Linked DNA regions of Coturnix japonica. The protein of the gene in region 1 binds, or shares a complex with, the protein of each later gene. Links are inferred from orthologs where the notes say so. Each region holds a gene or a part of one and is shown on either strand. Other genes may lie near its edges.

The links.
Region 2: LRP5 (region 1) and FZD8 share a complex: the UniProt entries of both Homo sapiens proteins name them as parts of the wnt-signaling complex. The link is inferred for Coturnix japonica from reciprocal best matches to the Homo sapiens genes LRP5 and FZD8.

The regions. Positions count from the first base shown.
Region 1 is NC_029520.1:8,359,016-8,363,430, reverse strand, and holds the start of LRP5 (low-density lipoprotein receptor-related protein 5), read left to right. Parts: upstream 1-1,337; 5' UTR 1,338-1,434; coding exon 1,435-1,522; intron 1,523-4,415. UniProt on the Homo sapiens protein: Acts as a coreceptor with members of the frizzled family of seven-transmembrane spanning receptors to transduce signal by Wnt proteins.
Region 2 is NC_029517.1:11,565,573-11,569,881, forward strand, and holds the start of FZD8 (frizzled-8), read left to right. Parts: upstream 1-1,225; 5' UTR 1,226-1,228; coding exon 1,229-3,760; 3' UTR 3,761-4,309. UniProt on the Homo sapiens protein: Receptor for Wnt proteins. Component of the Wnt-Fzd-LRP5-LRP6 complex that triggers beta-catenin signaling through inducing aggregation of receptor-ligand complexes into ribosome-sized signalosomes.

The DNA.
Region 1 (4,415 bases):
TTCCCTTTGAAAAATGCTGGTCTCTGTTGAAATCTCTCAGTCAGAACCATCTTTATCTCTTTGTACAAAGTTTTGCCATTAGTGTTTCACAGCGGCTCTGATCTGGGCTCTGGTTTATTGTGGAACTTCTATCAAGGAAGACCAGCTGCTGGTTTTCCCATCTTAAAGAACGCTGAGGTTTAAAATGCCTCCTGGAATCGGACATCTTTAAAGTAAGCATTCTTTATGTGTTTAACAAGCAGGAAGGTAGAGCAGGAAGCTTTATTTTCCTTTGTGGGTTAGTGTGAAGGTCAGTGCTATAGACCTTCTGTAACTCCTCAACACTATCCCAACATTAAACCCTTCTTAAGAAAGGGGGAAACCTGCACCTGGTGACCATCAGGTCCCAAAAGAATTCCTGAGCTTTTAGTCCCACTGTTGGAGATGGGTAGTGGTCCATTGGGCACTGAGAAGAAATCTGAACCATGGCTGCAGAACCTACAGCAAGGCAGATCTATTAGGACACATCCATTGTCTGAAAGGAAAAGCAACTTTTAAATATCTATTGGTTAAGCATGTGATTTATGAGGGAATGCCTTGATGATGCTGTCTGTGTATAGACTGTAGTATTTCTATTTCCTATGGTAAATTTGGTGTTGGCACAAGGGAAAATGGAGACTCCAAGGGAAATTCTTGACTCCGTCCCTGCTGTTGAGGTGTTTGTGGTAGCTGGGAATGAGGGAGATGTGGGATGTCTGGGTTGCAGGTGGCACAGCTCAGCCCCTGCCATGTGTCACAGAGCAGCTTCTGCCCATTTCTCACCGCTCATGTACTTGTATCAACAGGCTGCGTGTTTGATGGGGGGAAAAGCAACTGAACTGCTGCTGGAAAGTGACTTTGTTCGTGATGCGAACACAGAGCACTGTGAGGAGATGCTCGTATTGCTGGGAAGAGGAAGGTGAAGGAAAACCCCCACCTGGGAACAAAACAGCTGCGTAAAGGAGCAGGTAAGCGCACACTCAGCGCAGATGCACAAGTAGTTTCTTTGTAAACACACAGTGAGCACTTTTGTCCGCCCCTTCTCGTGCCCCTCGCGTTCTGGGGGGAGCCGGGAAAGAAGCAAAACAAACCCAAACGCTTCGGCAAGAGACCAGGAGCTCGAGGATCCCCGGCCCGAGCCCGATCCGCCGCTCCCCGCCAGGTGCACGGCGCGGGCCTGTGCGGACGCACGGCTCCTCCCCGGGCCGCCTCGCGAGCGGGAGGATCCCAGCCCCCTTCGGGGAGGCAGGAGCGAGGGGGGAGCGGGCGGAGGAGGAGGAGGAGGAGGAGGAGGAGGGCCGGGAGCGGCGCCTCCCCCTTCCCGCCTCCCTCCCCGCCGAGCGCAGCGCCCCGAGCATGGAACCTGCCTGAGACGCTCGGCGGGCTCCGCTCCGGCAGCTGCTGCTGCGGCACAACATGGAGGCGGCGCCGCCGCTCCCGCTGCTGCTGCTGCTGCGGCTCCTGGCCGCTTCGGTGCTGCGCTGCGAGCCGGGCTCGGCCGGGGGTGAGTGCTGCGGGAACGGGAAGGGGGGGCGGGGAGGGGGGGGAACGGCGGAGGGAGCTGCTGCCCCTTTTGTTGGCGGAGTTTGGAGAAACTTCCCCTGAACTCCGCCGGGGCGAGACGCGCACATGGACGGGACGGGACGGGCGGAGCGGGGCTCCCCGGGAGCGGCTGCGGGAGGGCGGGGAGCCGGCGTGTGTGCCCGCAACTGCCCGGCCCGGGGCGCGGAGGGCTCCGCCGCACGCAGAGGCCTCCCCGTCCCCTCCTCGCGGGGACCGGGCTGCACGGGGGGACTCTCGGTGGCCGCGTCCGGTCGCGAAAGAGAGACAAAAGTCGTGTGCGCGTTCCCACCCCCCCCTCCCCCGCGCCGCGCTTCCGCGGTCCCGGATTTGTGCGGGGTTTGGAGGAGCTGGTGTCGGGTGTCGCTCACGGGCGGAATCCGAGGCTCGGCGGGGCTGCCGAGGGGGGTGGGGGAACGAGGCCCCCCCTCGGCCCCCCCTGCGCGGCCGGGCTCCGTCTTAGGGCCGTGGGCGGCGGGCGGGCGCTGGGCTCCGCACGTGCGGGGCTCCTGCTGCGCGCTGTGCCGCGCTGCGCTGCGATGCTTCCCGGCCGGCTGCGAAAAGTCGGTGGTGCGGCCGAGTAGGGCAGGAGGGCACCACGGGGCCTCCTTTATTGGGCCACCCACCTTAACGAAGCGGCTGCAGTTATTAACGCTGTCATTGGGAACGGGAGCGCTGGCTGCTGGCATCGCCGCTCTCTATTTTTAGTTGGAAGTTCGTGTAGGTGTGTGTGAAGTTTTGCTCGTTCTGTCCTGTTTCCGTGAGGAAGGTGTGCATCTCGGAGTGCCCCTTCTCCTAACGCTGACCTCCGTCTTGCCAAATAGTTTCAGAAAAGCCAAAGTGAGACTCGTTCCATTCTGAGCACTCGTGTCGGTGTGAAGATGTTCGGACTTGAGTGAGTTAAGCTATGCAGCTTCAAGAAGTGAACTCACAGCTGTTTTATATGGAGCATGAGGAGCTCATAGTGTTCCTCGTGGCTGCTACACGTTTACTTGCTGGTCTTACAAACGCCTTTGAAATATTTAGTGGCCTTTGACTGGGTACAAGGATGAAAGTTTTTACAATAAGGGTGGTTGCCCAGGGAGGTGGTGGATGCTCAATGCCTGGGGACACCCAAGGTCGGGCAGGACGGGCTCTGAGCACCTGATCTAGTGTAGGTGTCCCTGCTCATTGCCACAGAGTTGGCCTTTGAGAGTCCCTTCCAACTCATGCAATTCTCTGGTTCTTATTTATTAAGGAGAGAACTTTTAATAGTCTTAGGGTAAAAGCATAATGCAGTTCACGGTGATGTTAAGTTGTAACTTGGAGGATGAATTTGTTTCATCTCATTGTAGAGGCAGCGCTTTTGTTATCGTGGCACTGAGTTGCTGCCTTCCAGACCTGTTGATGAAGCTGTGAGCCCCAGGGATGAGCGTGCTCTGTGCACGTGGGGCAGAGCAGCTGTGTGTGCTGAGGAGGAACCTGCTTCCAGCTCCCCGGCCCTGTGAGCAGACGCCTGACTTTAAGGGGCTTTTACCTCTCAGAAGTATTTTGATGTGCTTATCTCACAAGTACGTAAATAGATCAGCAGGATTGGGAATGTGCTGGAACTTCTCTGGTGTTGAAGCTTCAGCTTGGTAGAGTGGATTTGGAATGCTATGGCCATGAAATAACTTCACTGTGGAGCAGTGTCCTTGCTCTGTATGTGGTCGTGGCAGGAGTTGGTTTTATTAACGTGGCTTGGAATAATGATAAACCTCTGTGAGATGTGTGTTGCACTGACCTGGAGGTGAGGCAGGGCAATTGCTGCACTTGCTGCTTCTGTGGAGGGAGGGCTCTCTGCCTCTGAGAGTTACTCAGGAACTATGGCAAGGGTGTATTTTTCTCTGAAAATATTGAAGTGCTTAATGCTGTATAGCAGATGTTTTATGTCTGGCTCTTAAAAAGTAGAAGCGTTTGAAATAACTCTCGTTAAAACGTTACCTTCAGCAAGAATTGCTCTTAAATTCACCGGAGCTGGGTTAGCTGCTGCCTGTGGTGTGCTGTACTGGGAGATGGTGATTTGCTTTAATGGGATGATGATTTGTCCGATACCAAGACGTGCAGAATAAAGACATCTGAACAGAGGAGTGTGCTGGATCATGACAGAAGCTTGGAGCTTGGGATGCACTGTGAAATAAAAAATGCACTTGAGCACAGCCCTTACAATGGCTTTTAATTCATACTGTTTTTCTTGAGATAATCTAAAACTGATGAAACTTCTCACTGTGCCTAAGTGTGGAATGTAGCAAGATGGAACACGTGTTTAATTTGGTGACGAGGGAATGTGCTGTGTGGGAGTCCCTATGACTTCAGTGCCGCTTCAGTCAGTCCTTCATTGGCTCAGGGAGCTCTTCTGGTAACCACTGCCAGCACAGCACGAGTCATGGGCACAGGTCCTCTGGGCTAGAGAGACAACACCGGAGCTTCAGGCTTACCATGAAGTTTAAGCTCATATTTTCCAAGTGCTGGCTGTTCTGTCTCCAGACGAAGGCTTTCAGTCTCATTCAGGTGTGGTCTCTGAACTCATTTGCTAAGTCTGAGCACTTTAAATGTACTCTCAGGGTAGATGTTTACATAATGAATGCATCAGTCAGACACATAAGGTCAATACTTCAGAAGAGCGTGAATGTATTTCAGCAGTAGCCCAGTGTGAATTCCATCATTGCCTTTTGCTATTTTAAAAGTTGTGGGTTTTTTTGTGCTTTTGGGTTGTTTTTTTTGTTCCTCAGCTGCTTTAACTTTTATTTTATGATTGTTCTCACTTGCTTATAATGTAATAATAAAATAGGCCTTGGTGTTGTTCCAGCGGTGAATTA
Region 2 (4,309 bases), on another chromosome or scaffold:
AGCGCTGCCACGTCCTCAGCAGTTCCGTGGCACGTCCGAGAGCGATCGCTCCCCTCAGGTGGGCTGGGGGGGGGGGCGAAGAGAACAGTTCTGCAAATGACCGCAATGATTACACAGTGAACGCGTTTATCGCTTCGTTATTGCCCATTTCCTCCTCGCTGGGAGATCTACGCGTCTATTTACATGGGGAGGAGAAAGGGGCGGCGGAGGATCCTGTCGGCAGGGGCAGCAAACTTCAGGCAGCGCTTTCCTTCCTTATTTCCTTCCCTCCCTCCCGGCTCCTCCGGCCCCAGCGCGGCTCGTTCCCGCTCTCGCACTCATTAGGGCCGCAGCGGGAGCTCCATGCGAGCGCGAAGAGCAACAGCGCCGCAATTAACAAACAAACGCCCCGGTCTGGAAGAACGGCAACCCCCCGGGACGGCCCCGCCGCGCACCGGCCCTTAAGGTGGTCCGGAGTGTCTCGAAGCGACGGAGCAGGGAGTGGGGAGGGGGAGGTGGCGGGGGGAGAAGGGAAAGGAGACGGAGACGTCCCTCGGGGCCGCTCTCAGCCCGGGCACAGCGGGAGGGGAGCAGCTGTTGGCCCCGTGCGATGCTCACCCGTGTGAGCTCCAGCGGCCGGGAGGGGCTGCCCGAACCGTGCGGGAGCGCTGCGGCATCCGGAGGGCGGACACCCCGCTGCCGCTCACCTGGTGGGACGCCACTGTGAGCGCGTGTGTTATTACTTTGGGAACGGATCCGGAGCACGCGGCTCGGTGGCGTGGCAGGGAAAGGGTGGCAACGCGGTTATGTTTGAAACTCCGCGTTTCTGCCGCCCCCGTGTCACTGCCGTGTACTTCTCCCTCTCACCCCCGCAGCAGCAACGCTGCTCTCCAGCAAAGCCACGCACAGAGAAGTCGTGGGCGCTGAGTCCGGCCTCAGGCACGTGCAAAGGCGAGGAGGGCTGAGAGCGGCCGTCGCATCACAGCCCCGAGCTGCCGATCCCCGGCTCCACCGGGATCACACGCAGCAGAAGCAGCTCACGGCCAAGAACCGCGCTTTGCCACTCGGAGCAAACACCCGCAAAAAGCACAACCTTCCCAAGGGCCGAGCAGGGCACGCAGCACCGGCACCCACCGGCCGCTCCACCTTAAGGCGGGCCGGGGTCGGCTCCGCTCTCACCGCCCAGACCGGAGCGATTGGCAGCCGGGGCGATGAGGGCGGGGCCCGGAGGCGCTCGCTATAAATATTCATGAGAGCGCGGCGGCCGGACTGGCGCTGCCGGGGCCGAGGAACGAGAAGTTGCGCGGAGGCACAGCCGCACTCAACCCCGCGGCTCAGGTGGCGCGATCGCGGCCGGTGTGTCCGCGGCTGGAACCGGAGCGGAGCGAACCGGGACCCGGCCCGGCTGCCGGCGGAGCGCGGCGTGAGTGCGGCCGGCGGGACGAGCCGCTCCGGCCGTCGCTGCACCGGCTCTACCGCTGCCCGGGAGCGCGGCGTCGCGGGACTCAGCGCCTGGTCCCGGGGCCGCCTCGGCCATATTGACCGCGCCGGGCGGGGACCGGGAGCGAAACTTGGCGGCCGCGAGAAGCTTCGTGCTGTCCGGAGACATGCGAGGCCGGCTGAGCGGCCTCCCCTGAGCGGAGCCCACCTCCCCCCCCCTCCCCCTTCCGCCGGGCACAGCGCCCGCGGGGCCGCCCCCTCACCTGCCGGGGCAGCGGAGCGGGACGGGAGGAGGGGAGGCGGCCGGGCCCGCCGCCGCCCGCAGCGCAGCATGGAGTGGAGCTACCTGTTGGCCGTCACCCCGCTGCTCGCCGCCGTGGCCCTGCTGCAACGCGCCAGCTGTGCCGCCGCCTCGGCCGCCGCCTCGTCGTCGTCGTCTTCGTCGTCGGCTAAAGAGCTGTCGTGCCAGGAGATCACCGTGCCGCTCTGCAAGGGCATCGGCTACAACCACACCTACATGCCCAACCAGTTCAACCACGACACGCAGGACGAGGCCGGGCTGGAGGTGCACCAGTTCTGGCCTCTGGTGGAGATCCAGTGCTCCAGCGACCTGCGCTTCTTCCTGTGCAGCATGTACACCCCCATCTGCCTGGAGGACTACAAGAAGCCGCTGCCTCCCTGCCGCAGCGTCTGCGAGCGGGCCAAGGCGGGCTGCGCGCCGCTCATGCGCCAGTACGGCTTCGCCTGGCCCGACAGGATGCGCTGCGACCGGCTGCCGGAGCAGGGCAGCCCCGACACGCTGTGCATGGACTACAACCGCACCGACCTCACCACGGCAGCGCCGCCGCCCGCCAAGCCCCCCCTCCGCGGCTCCCGGCCCGGCGGCCCCGCCAGGGCGCCCCCTCCCGCCGCCGCCGCTCCCCCGGCCGAGGCTCCGCGGCCGCCGCCGCCCTGCGAGCCGGGCTGCCAGTGCCGGGCGCCCATGGTGTCGGTGTCCAGCGAGAGGCACCCGCTGTACAACCGAGTGAAGACGGGGCAGATCGCCAACTGCGCGCTGCCGTGCCACAACCCCTACTTCAGCCCCGACGAGCGCGCCTTCACCGCCTTCTGGATCGGCCTGTGGTCCGTGCTCTGCTTCCTCTCCACCTTCTCCACCGTTTCCACCTTCCTCATCGACATGGAGCGCTTCAGCTACCCCGAGCGGCCCATCATCTTCCTGTCGGGCTGCTACCTCTTCGTGTCGGTGGGCTACATTGTGCGGCTGGTTGCCGGCCACGAGAAGGTGGCTTGCAGCGGCGGAGCGGGGGCGGGCGGTGCGGGGCCCGGAGCGGCGGGGGCGGGCGGCGGAGCGGCGGCGGCGGGGGCGGCTGCGGGGGGACGCGGGGCGGCGGGCGGCGCGGCCGAGCTGCAGCCCGAGCTGGCGGTGGCCGAACACGTGCGGTACGAGAGCACGGGGCCGGCGCTGTGCACCGTGGTCTTCCTGCTCGTCTACTTCTTCGGCATGGCCAGCTCCATCTGGTGGGTCATCCTGTCCCTCACCTGGTTCCTGGCCGCTGGCATGAAGTGGGGCAACGAGGCCATCGCAGGCTACGCACAGTACTTCCACCTGGCTGCCTGGCTGCTCCCCAGCGTCAAGTCCATCACCGTGCTAGCGCTCAGCTCTGTGGATGGGGACCCAGTGGCTGGGGTTTGCTACGTGGGCAACCAGAGCCTGGAGAATCTGCGGGGCTTCGTGCTGGCGCCGCTGGTCGTCTACCTCTTCATCGGCACCCTCTTCCTGCTGGCTGGCTTCGTCTCGCTGTTCCGCATCCGCAGTGTGATCAAACAGCAGGGCGGCCCCACCAAGACCCACAAGCTGGAGAAGCTGATGATACGCCTTGGTCTCTTCACCGTGCTTTACACCGTCCCGGCCGCCAGCGTGGTCGCCTGTCTCTTTTACGAGCAGCACAACCGGCCCCGCTGGGAGGCCACGCACAACTGCCCCTGTCTGCGCGACCAACAGCCCGACCAGGCCCGCCGCCCTGACTACGCCGTCTTCATGCTCAAGTACTTCATGTGCCTCGTGGTGGGCATCACCTCGGGCTTCTGGATCTGGTCTGGCAAAACTCTCGAGTCCTGGAGGGCCCTCTGCACCCGCTGCTGCTGGGCCAGCAAAGGTGCCGCTGTGGCCGGGGGTGCGGGAGCAGGAGCGGGTGGGCAGGCCGCCATCGCTGCTGCTGGAGGACTTGGAGCTGGTGGAGGTGGCTCCTTGTACAGCGATGTCAGCACCGGCCTGACGTGGAGGTCTGGCACTGCCAGCTCTGTCTCCTACCCCAAGCAGATGCCTCTGTCTCAAGTGTGAGGAGGGGGAAAAGAGGCCATAGGTTAGGGAATGAGGGACACTGGCCTGCCTGAAATGCCCCCTCACTGTTTGGTGCCATTAATGAACCACTAATGGTCCTTATTAGCCACAGCTTGTATAGAACAATGCAGCTGGCAGAGGCCCCAGGCTCCAGCCCCCTCCTCCTTCCCCTCCATTCATATGCAGGGAGCATGTACTTCAAGGAGCCAGCATGTTATTTTGCTGGCGGAGGAGGGCAGGGGCTCACCCGTGTCTTGCAGAGGGCAAGGCAGAGCGGCTCCTGATTTACTCTGGACTTAACAGCAGCTCGTGGGAGGGAGGGTCTTCCTCCCCCATCCCAAAGCTGGAGTCTGCTGGAACTACAGGTTTTTTTGGGTTATCAACGACCAGGCAAATGCCTTATAACACAGACTGAATCAAAACATGTCTTAATTATACACCCCAGATAAATACGGGTTTCCTACAGTAAAGGATGTATTTATATAATTATTTGTTACCTTGTACAGATGTGTAAAATATGTATATATCCAAAGCTATACAGTCTGTAAA